3 linked regions of the Arabidopsis thaliana genome follow. The main gene of each other region encodes a partner of the protein of the gene in region 2 in a complex. Each region holds a gene or a part of one and is shown on either strand. Other genes may lie near its edges. The genes, in order: NRB4, AT5G19480 and AT5G63480.

Region 1 (3,757 bases), on a different chromosome or scaffold from region 2:
ATTTGCAGCTTGTTGCCGCATTAATTGTGTAGGCTGCTGCTGTAGAGGAGAAATTGATTGTTGCGGCAATGAAGATTGCTGCTGATGGATACCAGAGGCTTGTTGTGATTGCGGATGTTGCCTTAGCATCGACGATTGATGCTGACGAAGCATAGATTGTGTCGTCTGCTGAGAAGACAATTGCGGACTTGATTGCTGATTGGTGTGGAGACCTTGGAGAGGAGCTGAGTTCACAGTGGAGGGCTGAGTCGCAGATGTTGGAACACCAGGTTGTTGAGATGAATGCAGTTGATTAGGCTGCAGCACATTTTGCTGCTGTTGTTGAATGTGTGATGGCAAAAGCGAATTGGGATTGGGAACATTCCCTGACTGGAAGTTCTGCTTGAGAAGTTGCTGCTGTAGCTGCTGCTGGTAAAGATATGGCTGCTGTTGTTGCTGTGAAGACATAGCATGTGGCCTACCCAGCATCTGCCTTTGGGGTCCTGAAAACATGTTCGAGGAAAGGCCATGCTGCCCAGATGAATCTTGCAACATTCCAGCTACATTTTGCATATTGGCATTCTGGTTCACAACGCTTGTGGTGTTATTATTGGTTATGGAAGAAACAGGTGGCATGGAAGATGGTAAAGCAGTAGAACCCGTCATTCCAGAGGCAGTATTATTCTGCATGGTTTGGGACAGCAACGGCTGAGGTGCTTGAGATTGATTGGTTGATAACGATCCTGGAAGAAGTTGGCCTTGATTGGTGGGTACTATTCAAGGAAAGGTTAAACAGCATCAAATAAGAGGAACAATTAGCCATAAAACCAGATAAACAGACTTAAGCAATTCATGCTTGAGAATCGTGATTACTCGAATCTATGGATGTGCCATTATTAGCGGCAGGGATAGCTGCGGAAGAACCAGCTGCATTTTGTGATTTAGTCTCCATTGTCAGCATCTTCATTGATATTTTCCGAAGGTAATCAGTCTGAAAGGCGATATAAAAGAGTATCAGGAAGGTATACATGGATTTCATACCCAACATATTGTGGCTTAGCTTTACAGATACCGAAAGTCAGTTCTTTTCCATGTTGTGGAGTCCATTGCCTCACAAATCTCTATATTTACCATACTAACGAAACAAGAATATATGTTCATAATAACCTGGTTAAGAGCACCGCTGAAAATTTTCTCCTCGAATCTAGCTGCAATTCTCCTGAGCTCGTTAATTCCCTCTGGTCCGGAAAATGGAAGGTGCTTCTTTAGTGTTTCCATTCTGCGCAAGTGGCAAGCAAATAAGTAAAACAAACAAACTAACTATTGGTCAAGGAACATAATAACCTTCTATTTCTGTAGTATTTGACTGGCATAGACAAAACAACGCCGCTAGAGTGACTTACATCTTGTTGACGATCTTCTGACGAGAATCAGGTGGCAATTGCGTTCTCCAGTCACCTGTATCCATGGCAGGCTCTCCGTTTGGAAGAGAAGGCCTCCAATTGTTATTATCCATCAAGTTTTCTGTGTTTACAAGCCATGAAGAGCAAAGTATCAATAGTAAGTATACAGAGAAACCAAAACATGACAATATAACAACTGATTATCCCAAATCAACAGGAAACAAATGACCACACAACATGGATTAGATTAACACTCAGAATTTCTTATTGATCAGCCAAAATGTTCATTCTTTCTAATGTTGGTAGCAAAAAGCAATAAACTCAAAACATCAAATAGCCAATCCCACCGGAACGAGAATCCAGGAACTCAAAATAAGCAAACTTTATTACATCAACAAAGTTCATCTATTCTCGTAATTGTAATAAACCAGACCCAACTACAAAGGGAGATACTTTATCTTCTTTGGAATCCCGATCAAAAGAGAAAACTCTAAAAAGCAAGGCTTAAGAACAACAGAAAAAAAAACGAGATTCGAACATTTCACCTCAAATTCAGAGCCAATCAAGGAGATTTGGCGTTTGACGGAGTCAAGGTTGGTACAACGATTAGGGCTTGATATTAGGAAAACAGAGGAGAAAAAGGGGAAATTGGAGCTGGATTTAGGGTTTAGCTTGATCGAAAAACGAATGAAGAATATAGGATCTTCTAGGTAAAGAGACAGAGGAAACTTGTTCGCGTCGTAAATCATAATCGAGCCTACCAGTTCGCTTATAACAAGTTTTTTTTTTTTTCAAAATAAACAAAAAAATCTAGTATTAATTACCACATGTATAATTGTATAGTTTTCCCAGTTCAAATATGGTAGCATTGGTGCAAAATGTATTAGAAATTTGTTAACTAGATAATATGACCACTATTTTTCAATTTTAAATAAATTATATATTTTTCGTTTCATTTTAGAAAACGTTTTAGAAAAGTGATTATAAAGTGATAATAAAATTAGATATAATAAAAGTACATTAAGTCACATATGTTGTTTACGTTTTTTTTAACAAAACAGCATTTTTTATTAATAATTTTATAGGTTGGAAAAATAAACCTTACTAGATTTTAACCCGCGATACACCGCGGAGACAATTCATTTTTAAAAATTAATATATATAAAATTTGTAAATTATTTTATAGTTTACCATTGTTACTAAGTAACGTCCTGCCAAATCCGTCCTACCAAACATGTCCTGCCAAACCCGTCCAAAAAAAAAACTATTTATTTTATTAATGTTGATCTTATTTATAATATGTTTATGAATCATTGTCAAAATATTTTAGTCGTTGCGTGACATTGAACCCACACATTTTTCGCCAATTGGTTAATATATGTTCATTCTTAAAATTTCGAATCACAAAATATGACGAATTTTTTTTTGAGATTTTTTAAAACTCTATATATTATATAATGATGTTAATTTTTTTGATAAATTAAACTTTTTATAAATTCAAATATTGATAATGTTTTATGAAGTTTAAATATACAAATAATAATATTTAAAAAATTAATATTTTTTGCCTTTTAGGTAATGATATAATAACTCTAAAAGCAAGAATTTAGAAGATTTAAATCCTTAAATAAATATTTTCATGCCTAAATAATTAATGTCAGTAGTATGACATTGTAAATAAGTTCAAATACATGATTTGTTTATTTAAACAAAAAACGTTTAGTAAGAATAATATTTATTTAAACAAAAAACATTGTTTTAAAATATAGTTAATAAAATACGTTTATGCTAATTTTAAGGGATTGATGTGAAGTTTGTTTGGATTAAATTTGATTGATAATGTGATTGACAATTTAAATTAAAAATTTAAAGTAAAATTAATTATTTTGGAAAATATTTAATGTTAATGGCATTGGGTTGTAAATAAGTCCAACTCTAAGATTTATTTGCTAAAATGACTGCAAAAATGTATATGTAGATAGTTAAGGAATAAAATCCTTAATAATCTGATTTTAAAAATAAAAGCAAATAAAGACGATTTTCAATTAATTTTGAAATACATTTGTGTCCTTTCTTAATTCAATTATTTTAACTGTTTTGTTAATGAACTATGATATAAATATAATCAGACTAAAAATTTTTTTTTTTTTATAACTTTTTTATTATAGGGGATTTTAGAATAATCATCACATAATATTCATCAAACAAAACACAAAACCGGTTGAAGGTTTTATACATATTTAACAAATGTAAATTTCAGTATCATTACCTAAGAAACAATCAAACTCACCTAACTTGTCAAGTGTACATGTCCTATAAGTCAAAAGAGAAACTTTTCTTATGACAGAGGTTGTCTATGTGTAAATGTGTAATAT
Region 2 (3,757 bases):
TTTTTATTTAGAGATTAAACCTGCAAAACCAAATCCAAATCATTTTATGTTATGTTGAGACAAATCTACACCATATAGAAACATTTCTAATTATTTGAGACTCCAAAATAAAGTTAGTGCACTCTCGGTCGCTAGAGTTCCAGGTTATCTTCTTATAAGCCTTAGACAATAATTATTTCTTCATGTTTAAAACAACCATAGCTTTGTTGACTCAATCATATTCATCATGTACAGTACCGTTGGTTATGACAGACGCAGCCCCATATGAGAAACGTGCGTTATCTAAAGATGAGAAGATGACTCTAGTGACCGAGTTACCTAACAAAGTTAGCTGCTTCTAAGCCTCTCCATGACACCTTGGGTGTGCAATACAAAAATGAAAGTGTGCACGGCTTCAGCCTCCAACCTACATCGCTCCCATCTCATCAAGCTTTGAGCTCTTATGCTGCAAAAAAGTTAATTTTAGGGCCGACAAAAATAAAATTTGCAGAGCAACACCAATGTGCGAGTAACCAGAAACTTCTAAATTCAGCTTCACTAAAAAGAAGGAGATGCCTCCATTGCCATTAGTATATTACCTTACTCTTTTTGTGCCTCTGAACGTCATCAGCATCTTCAGTCCCATTGTTCTTCCTTTTCTGAAAGTAAAGTGATAGCGTATACCACGTCAATTCTATCGAATTTAAGAATCCAAAATATACATATATAGACGGCCTAGGTACCAACAAGAGCAGACAGTTTTATAACCTTATCATGGTGTCCACTTTTTTCCTTCTTTTTGTCTCGATCCTTGTCTTTATCCTTATCTTTGATCCTATCTTTATGCTTGTGCTTGTGCTTCTTATGTTCCCTATCTTTCTCCTTCTTGTCTTTATGTTTTCTATGTTTCCTATCCTTATCTTTTGACTCACTTTTTGATTTTGATACAGTGGTAGGAGCTCCCTTCTCTGCCTGAAATAAGAACAGGAGATCTCATATTCTCAAACCTAGCTCAACTATCATCACAAGATACTTGGAAGTAATTCAACTTATCATGGTTAGTAAAAGATCTAGATGTTACAGGAAGTTAAAATCTAAACAGAGAGAGCAATATTCTTACTGGAGGCAATTCAACAGGAGCTGTATCATTAAGCTCAAAAGCCTCCTTAAGTTCATCAAGAACAAAAGGTTGGATGCGAGCATTCGTATCTCGGCTACTAAGTGATGCATTAGGAATAAGCTGATCTAATTGCATTCCTTCTCCTTTTCTAATCTCTGTGTCTCCAACCAAATTATGAAGATAATGAGCATCTGACAGTGACTCTGGAAGTGATCTCTTGCAAAAGAATTCATGGTGTGGCAACAACTTGTATTGTGTTATAAGATCTAGTGCACCACCCAATTCTCTAGGACCTGCACTTAGAAACCCAGAAGCTCATTGACCCTCAAATCCCAAAATAATAAAACTTGACAAAAATCAAAGCTTGGAAACCAAATTTACCTCCAAACTTAACGCTCTCTGATTCCATATTTTTTTGTTGTTGTTGATTAAACTGCAATTATTGGAATTTGAAAACCAAACAAGCCAAAGCTCAATAAGCTCAAGATTTGACGAAAAGCGAAAACAAAGCTGAAGCAAAGATCAATCACCGCCATACATGACTTCACGAGGCAGATCTCATCGCAACCCAGAGATATAAACCCTAATCTGGAAAACGGATTGCTCTTGGTCGTGAATTTCCCGCGGGAATATCGAGGAACGTTCGAGAAGGAAGTAACTAGGGTTTGAGAATGGATTAGGAGTTTCCTCAAACAATGGCGTTATAAAATCGCGATTTCTTTTTCTTCTTCTTCTGTTTTTTTTTCGTCCAAAATTTTGTTATTTATACGGGTTACCGCGTGGGGTTCACGCGCTTCATAGTGCGTATGATCAACTTTACAGATTTCACAACGACTTTTTTTACATTTGTATTTTTATTTTAATAAAAATTTCAATTTTCTTATAATTTGCATTTTTAATCACATAGTTAAAAAAAAAAAAAAATGCTAATATAGCCGTCAAATAATTTTTGTTGCAATCGTCAATAGCCACCGATTAAGACGGTGGTCAACTTGTTAGTGGATATGGCCACGATTAGGTGGTGGCACTCAGTTGCAAGATAGCCACTGTTTTTCATATGGTCATATGTATGTGTATTTGTGGCCAAATAATTAAGACCAATTTGCTAAGGCCAAAAAGTGATTCGTTTAGTCATTGCTATTGTTCGGATCCTTTATATTGAAGTTGGAGAATGATTAACCAAAGCTAAAATCACCCAAATGGCCAAATCGTACCAGCAATCAATGCATGATTTCTTAACTCTTGTTTCTAAAACTATGATCATCCGACAATTCTCAATTTATCGAAGATTAGTTAAATGGATTCTGCATCTGACGGTTTGGTTAAGTCATGTTTTATTTTGTTCTCGTATGATGTAGGAAGAAGTCAAAATGTATCACAACACAACACAACCAGGGGTATCTTAATAGATGATGCACATAGAACAGAACGTTTTTTTTTTTTGTGTGTGATAAAGAAGATTACAGAAACGTTACACTACTGTCTTTACACACTTGAGACATATTTGCTATATCGCTGAAGAGAGAAAGATTCCGACTTTGTAGAAGAACAAAGCCCTAGTTTGGCCTTATACAACAATTAATGTAGGTCAAGATCCTCTTCTTCTTCTGCATGGTAATTAAATTAGTAATGTTAGAGAGACTTATGACGGTGACAACATGCTTCCTCTTAATACATTTCACATATTGCATAATGCTTCGTATAACAAGGTGATTTCGACTGTTATACAAACTAGAGATGGAGTTTTCATATTCGCTCTAGAAAAGCAGTGTACATTTCGTTCATGTTTGCCTCTTCAAAGTTTGGAGGCTCCAAGCAAAACAAATTTATGTAACTCCCAACATATAGTTAAAACATAATGCAAAGATTATAATATGATTCAGACTTTTAGTTGGTTTAATTATATTTTTATCTAACAATAGAAGTAATGAAATTTAGCTTAGGTGGGAATATAATGTTAAAATATGGTTGCTTATTGAAATGTTATGGAAAAAATGCAAAAAAAAAAACAAAGTTTTCCTAACAAATAAAAAGAAAGTAGAAAATGGGAAAATGGAAACGAACTATAAATTCATTGTTCGAACAAAACACATCATTTCAAAACCATGGAAACAAACTGCAAGCCAATACACTATAACATCAAATTTAAAGATACACTATCATTACATATTCATAAATGAGACCTGATACTATGATGCATGTATTAACTCATAATTAAGTTGAATAACATTCATGGTTCAATTATGTCTCTGAGTTAAGAAAGAAATGGAATGAAATATTCTTTTTAGGCGCATGCAAAAACACAAAACAAACAAAAGACGCAAAGAGAAAATCAATTCCTGAATTGTTATACCACCTTGTGATGATCCATGCGCGTTGACTAAGGGGAAAAGGATCATCACAAGGTGAATATGAACCAAAGAATCCATGGAAGAGTAAGTAGAGAGAGATAATTTAATTACCATGACAGGGTCATCGTCTTGAGTTTCATGGCGATGGTGAAGTTGTTGGTGGTTGCGACGAACACTTACCATGAGTTCTTGTTCGCTTCCCAAACTAGAATGTCTTACACCAGCTTTGTTCTGCTTCCTGTTTGCGCGAGCTTTAGAAAAGACAACCGAGTAGTTTGTAGCATCATTTGGTCCTTTTTGGTCCCAC
Region 3 (3,608 bases), about 19 Mb from region 2:
TAAGAAGTTATTATAAGAGACAGAGAACTCAAAGCTACTACAAGCCATGAAATACAAACTCAATATGCCATACATAAGCTCTGATCATTACTAGATTAGGAGCAAGAATCAACAAAAATACAAAGCATAGATTAGAATCTGCACATTTAGATTAATATATAGTTAAGCAAGTCTGCAGTTTTGCTGCAATAACTTATAAGTTAACAGGAAAAATGAAAAAGAGCTTTTTTGTTTTGTTTTGTTTGATCTCTCTCTCTCTCTCGAGTAAGTCATTCGAATCATAGACATATAAGAATCAGACACTTGCAGGGTCGAAATGATGATTAAATCTCTAAGCTTCTGGTTCCATAGCTCAACTGCACAACATTGTACAAATAATCAAAGGTGTGAGTCAAATCAAATAATGGATATCAAAATTGTGTATTTTACAAAGTTTTGTTTATGAATCTAAAGAAATGAGCCAGATGATACTGTAAATTGAGCTTCTTTGATATTATCAATTTTTAGCTTATTTGATGAGAATCAATGAAGATGACACAGAGCAGCAAATTCCTCTAAGACTAATCAAAGCAAGCTCATGAAGAATCTCAATAACCATAGATAATCAATTGCAACAAGCTACATTGCTGAATATTACTAGAATTCACTTACCCTTGGCTATCGAGATTACCATGGCCGCTACTTCCTCCACTTCCATAAGACACATCATCACCACCACCAGCTGAATTCTGCCAAACGCTTTGCCATGCCTGAGAAGGAGGCTGAGCATAAACACCGCTAGGATCCATCGCCGGTCTTCCAATCATCATCCCTCCAGGAACCGCCGGTTGTCCCATCGGTGGATAATAATAAGGAACACCGCTCGCGGCGGGAGCAACCATACCTCCTCCACCAAGAGCCGATGCTGCATCTTCCTCTTCCTTGATCTCTTCCCTAGGAACAATATCAACAAGGAAATCGAAGATATCGGTTCTAGTAATCGCAGCAGCGATATCGTTTTTCTGAAGCGTACGACGTTTGTTCTCTTCAGCGTGAAGCCAAGATCTAATCGTAAGTTCGAGAATGAAAAGCTCACAAGCTTTCGCGAAGAGAATCGGTGCTTCGGCGGAGATCATACGCACATCTTCATCAGCTTTCATGATTTTTTTGATACGAGCTAGAGGGAGCTGATGGTTTTTGAAATCGTTTACCTGTTCGATCTCTTGTCTCTGGTATGTCCAGAACATTTGAAGCTGTTGCTGTTGTTGCTGGAGGAGGTGGTGGTATGTCGCTCCTCCTCCGGTGACTATTGATGCAGATCCAGATGGTGGAGGAGGGATTACGGTTGTGACGGCGGAGCCAGGTGGATAGACGGAGGTTGGTGGTGGTTGCTGGTTGTTGTTGTTGTTGTTATTGTCCATTGGATCTTTGCCTTGTGATTGGATCAAAAGATCAAACTAACGTTTTAGATAGTTTTTGTCATATGGATTGGAGTAATAGTGGATAAGGTAGACAGCGATGTAGCTGATTTCTTTCTATTTTTATTTATCTATAAAAACTATATTATTGATATATATATTATATAGTTTGATTAAAACGACATCGTATTAATAGTTTAGTCAACCGACGCCGTGATAAAGTGTGTTCACGGTGATGCTGCAGAAACAGGTCTCGACGACGACGACGATGACGACACAGGAGCTAGCGATGGAAGGAGAGAAGCAATTGGAAGAAACTATTGAAGCGGCGTTTCAGATAATTTCAGCCATGAATGATGAGCTTTGTAATCCGTCTTTGTGGTCTACTTCAGCTACCCCGAGTTCCGCCGCGACGACGACGGGTTCTAATGGTTCGGCTCTCGTTTCCGCCGATGCGGCTGCGATTGATGGAACATCGCATCATTCGGAATCTGCTGGTGGTGGCGGGGGCGGAGGAAGTGGAAATAGTGTTTTGGATGAGGCGAGTCTTCGGTATAAGAACTCAGTGACTTCGCTTCGTGCTGTTCTTGCTGCGATTCCAAATTCGCAGAAGGTATTGAACATAATGTGATGTTACTAACTATTTCGAGAAGTGTTTTGTTCTGAGTTGTTTCTGGACTGAGGAAATTTTGAATTCCTAGGGTGTTTTGAGATCTTAGATTAGGAAATCTTCGAATCGATAGAGAGTTTAGATGAAGGATCTAATGCTTGTTGAGTGTCTTGTTCTTCACTTGTAGTGAACTTGCTTAATTTTAAATGAGAGCTTTTTTGAGGTTTCATAAATTTGAATTTGTTCATCTATTACAGGCAAAAGCATCTGAAATGCAAAATGGTTTAGGATCTCCTGAAAGTGAAGACGAGATCGAAAAATTGGAGGAGCAAGCCTTAAGTCTCAGAATGGTAAAGCTTTCTGCAATTTCTACATCTCTTTGTTTTCAATCTGATGTTACTACATTGATACACTATTCAGTCTCGAATTCTCTGTACATTTCAACTCACATAGCATTGAATTTGATTCATATTTTCTTGTATAAAGTGTTCTTTCCCACTGTCTAGTGTAAGTGTTTGTATCATTATAGCTTAAGCGGTTCTAGAACCATGGAAATGTTGATAATTTTTTGAATACATTTCAGCCATCTGGTCATTTTGATTTCTATGTTAATAACCTTATGGGAAGTGATTATATTGTTCTTCTCTGTTGGCATTAATAAACGGAAGCTTTTGTTCATGCAGGAGATTGCAAAGAAGAATGTTCATGTTAAAGAACTTATAGATAAACTTCGGGAACTTATAGCAGATATCTCTACATGGCAAAGCCCTTGTTCTGTTTGAGTTTTATTTTTTTGACAATAGTGAGATCAGTTTAGACAAAGATTCTAAGCCTTGTTCTTGAATTACTCCATGTATTAGTTTTAGATATTTGTTATTTTGATATCATGAAGCCAAAAAAATAATCAAAAATGACTTTTGTATATAAAAATATTTCAGACAAAACCTTCAAACCCTGTGTCTGTTTTTCTTTTTTGTTTGTATTGATCTGTTAAAGAAACACTTCTTGTAGTGTTTCTGAGGAATCAATGACCGAATTTTCTGAGAAAAGCCATAAAACCAAGACCAGCTACTAATGCTGCACCAGCCGCAACTCCACTATAAGCAGCAGCCCAAGCGTCTGTCTCTACATACTCCATTGATTCTGCTGATCCTGATGCTCTTCTCCTTCTTCTTCCTTTGCCTTCTCTTGAATCATCCAAATGTAATCTCAGACTCTGCAATTTATAATGATCAAATCAATTCAGAAAGCAAAAGGGGTTTATGGGCAATCTCATGAAGGTTTCATCTTCGACTTTGGTTCTTGTTGCTTATCAACCAAAAGTTTAAAGCAGGAGGAAATCGTTCTTTTTACCTTCCAGCCAATTGATTTTGCATGCTCTATGGCTGCTTGAAGGTCACTATCTGAAGCCAACAACACTTTATCGTGGTCTTCATCTTCATACTGCACATTATAACCATCATTTTAACAATTCAGGGGGTGACAAGAGAAGAATTAGATAATGATTGCATCATAGTCTTTATGTAAAAGAAAATATTTACCAAAATTTGGGGGAAGTTATCTGGATCGATATCATCCCCTACCCTCTGAATGATCGCGGT

What was found.
Region 1: AT5G19480 (region 2) and NRB4 share a complex: the UniProt entries of both Arabidopsis thaliana proteins name them as parts of the mediator complex.
Region 3: AT5G19480 (region 2) and AT5G63480 share a complex: the UniProt entries of both Arabidopsis thaliana proteins name them as parts of the mediator complex.

Annotation. Positions count from the first base shown.
Region 1 is NC_003070.9:5,434,427-5,438,183, forward strand, and holds the start of NRB4 (mediator of RNA polymerase II transcription subunit 15a-like protein), read right to left. Parts: upstream 2,193-3,757; 5' UTR 1,928-2,192; intron 1,927-1,927; exon of another isoform or gene 1,788-1,926; coding exon of another isoform or gene 1,730-1,787; intron 1,504-1,729; coding exon of another isoform or gene 1,496-1,503; coding exon 1,383-1,495; intron 1,259-1,382; coding exon 1,147-1,258; intron 971-1,146; coding exon 853-970; intron 753-852; coding exon 1-752. UniProt on the Arabidopsis thaliana protein: Component of the Mediator complex, a coactivator involved in the regulated transcription of nearly all RNA polymerase II-dependent genes.
Region 2 is NC_003076.8:6,569,579-6,573,335, reverse strand, and holds the start of AT5G19480 (mediator of RNA polymerase II transcription subunit), read right to left. Parts: upstream 1,836-3,757; 5' UTR 1,509-1,835; coding exon 1,481-1,508; intron 1,393-1,480; coding exon 1,100-1,392; intron 952-1,099; coding exon 748-951; intron 639-747; coding exon 579-638; intron 446-578; coding exon 407-445; 3' UTR 1-406. Other genes in the region: AT5G19473 (RPM1-interacting protein 4 (RIN4) family protein), read right to left, coding at 2,656-2,706, 3,562-3,757. UniProt on the Arabidopsis thaliana protein: Component of the Mediator complex, a coactivator involved in the regulated transcription of nearly all RNA polymerase II-dependent genes.
Region 3 is NC_003076.8:25,415,685-25,419,292, forward strand, and holds AT5G63480 (mediator of RNA polymerase II transcription subunit), read left to right. Parts: upstream 1-1,564; 5' UTR 1,565-1,632; coding exon 1,633-2,010; intron 2,011-2,264; coding exon 2,265-2,357; intron 2,358-2,690; coding exon 2,691-2,789; 3' UTR 2,790-2,951; downstream 2,952-3,608. Other genes in the region: NF-YC4 (nuclear factor Y, subunit C4), read right to left, coding at 648-1,400; AT5G63490 (CBS / octicosapeptide/Phox/Bemp1 (PB1) domains-containing protein), read right to left, coding at 3,032-3,223, 3,361-3,450, 3,549-3,608. UniProt on the Arabidopsis thaliana protein: Component of the Mediator complex, a coactivator involved in the regulated transcription of nearly all RNA polymerase II-dependent genes.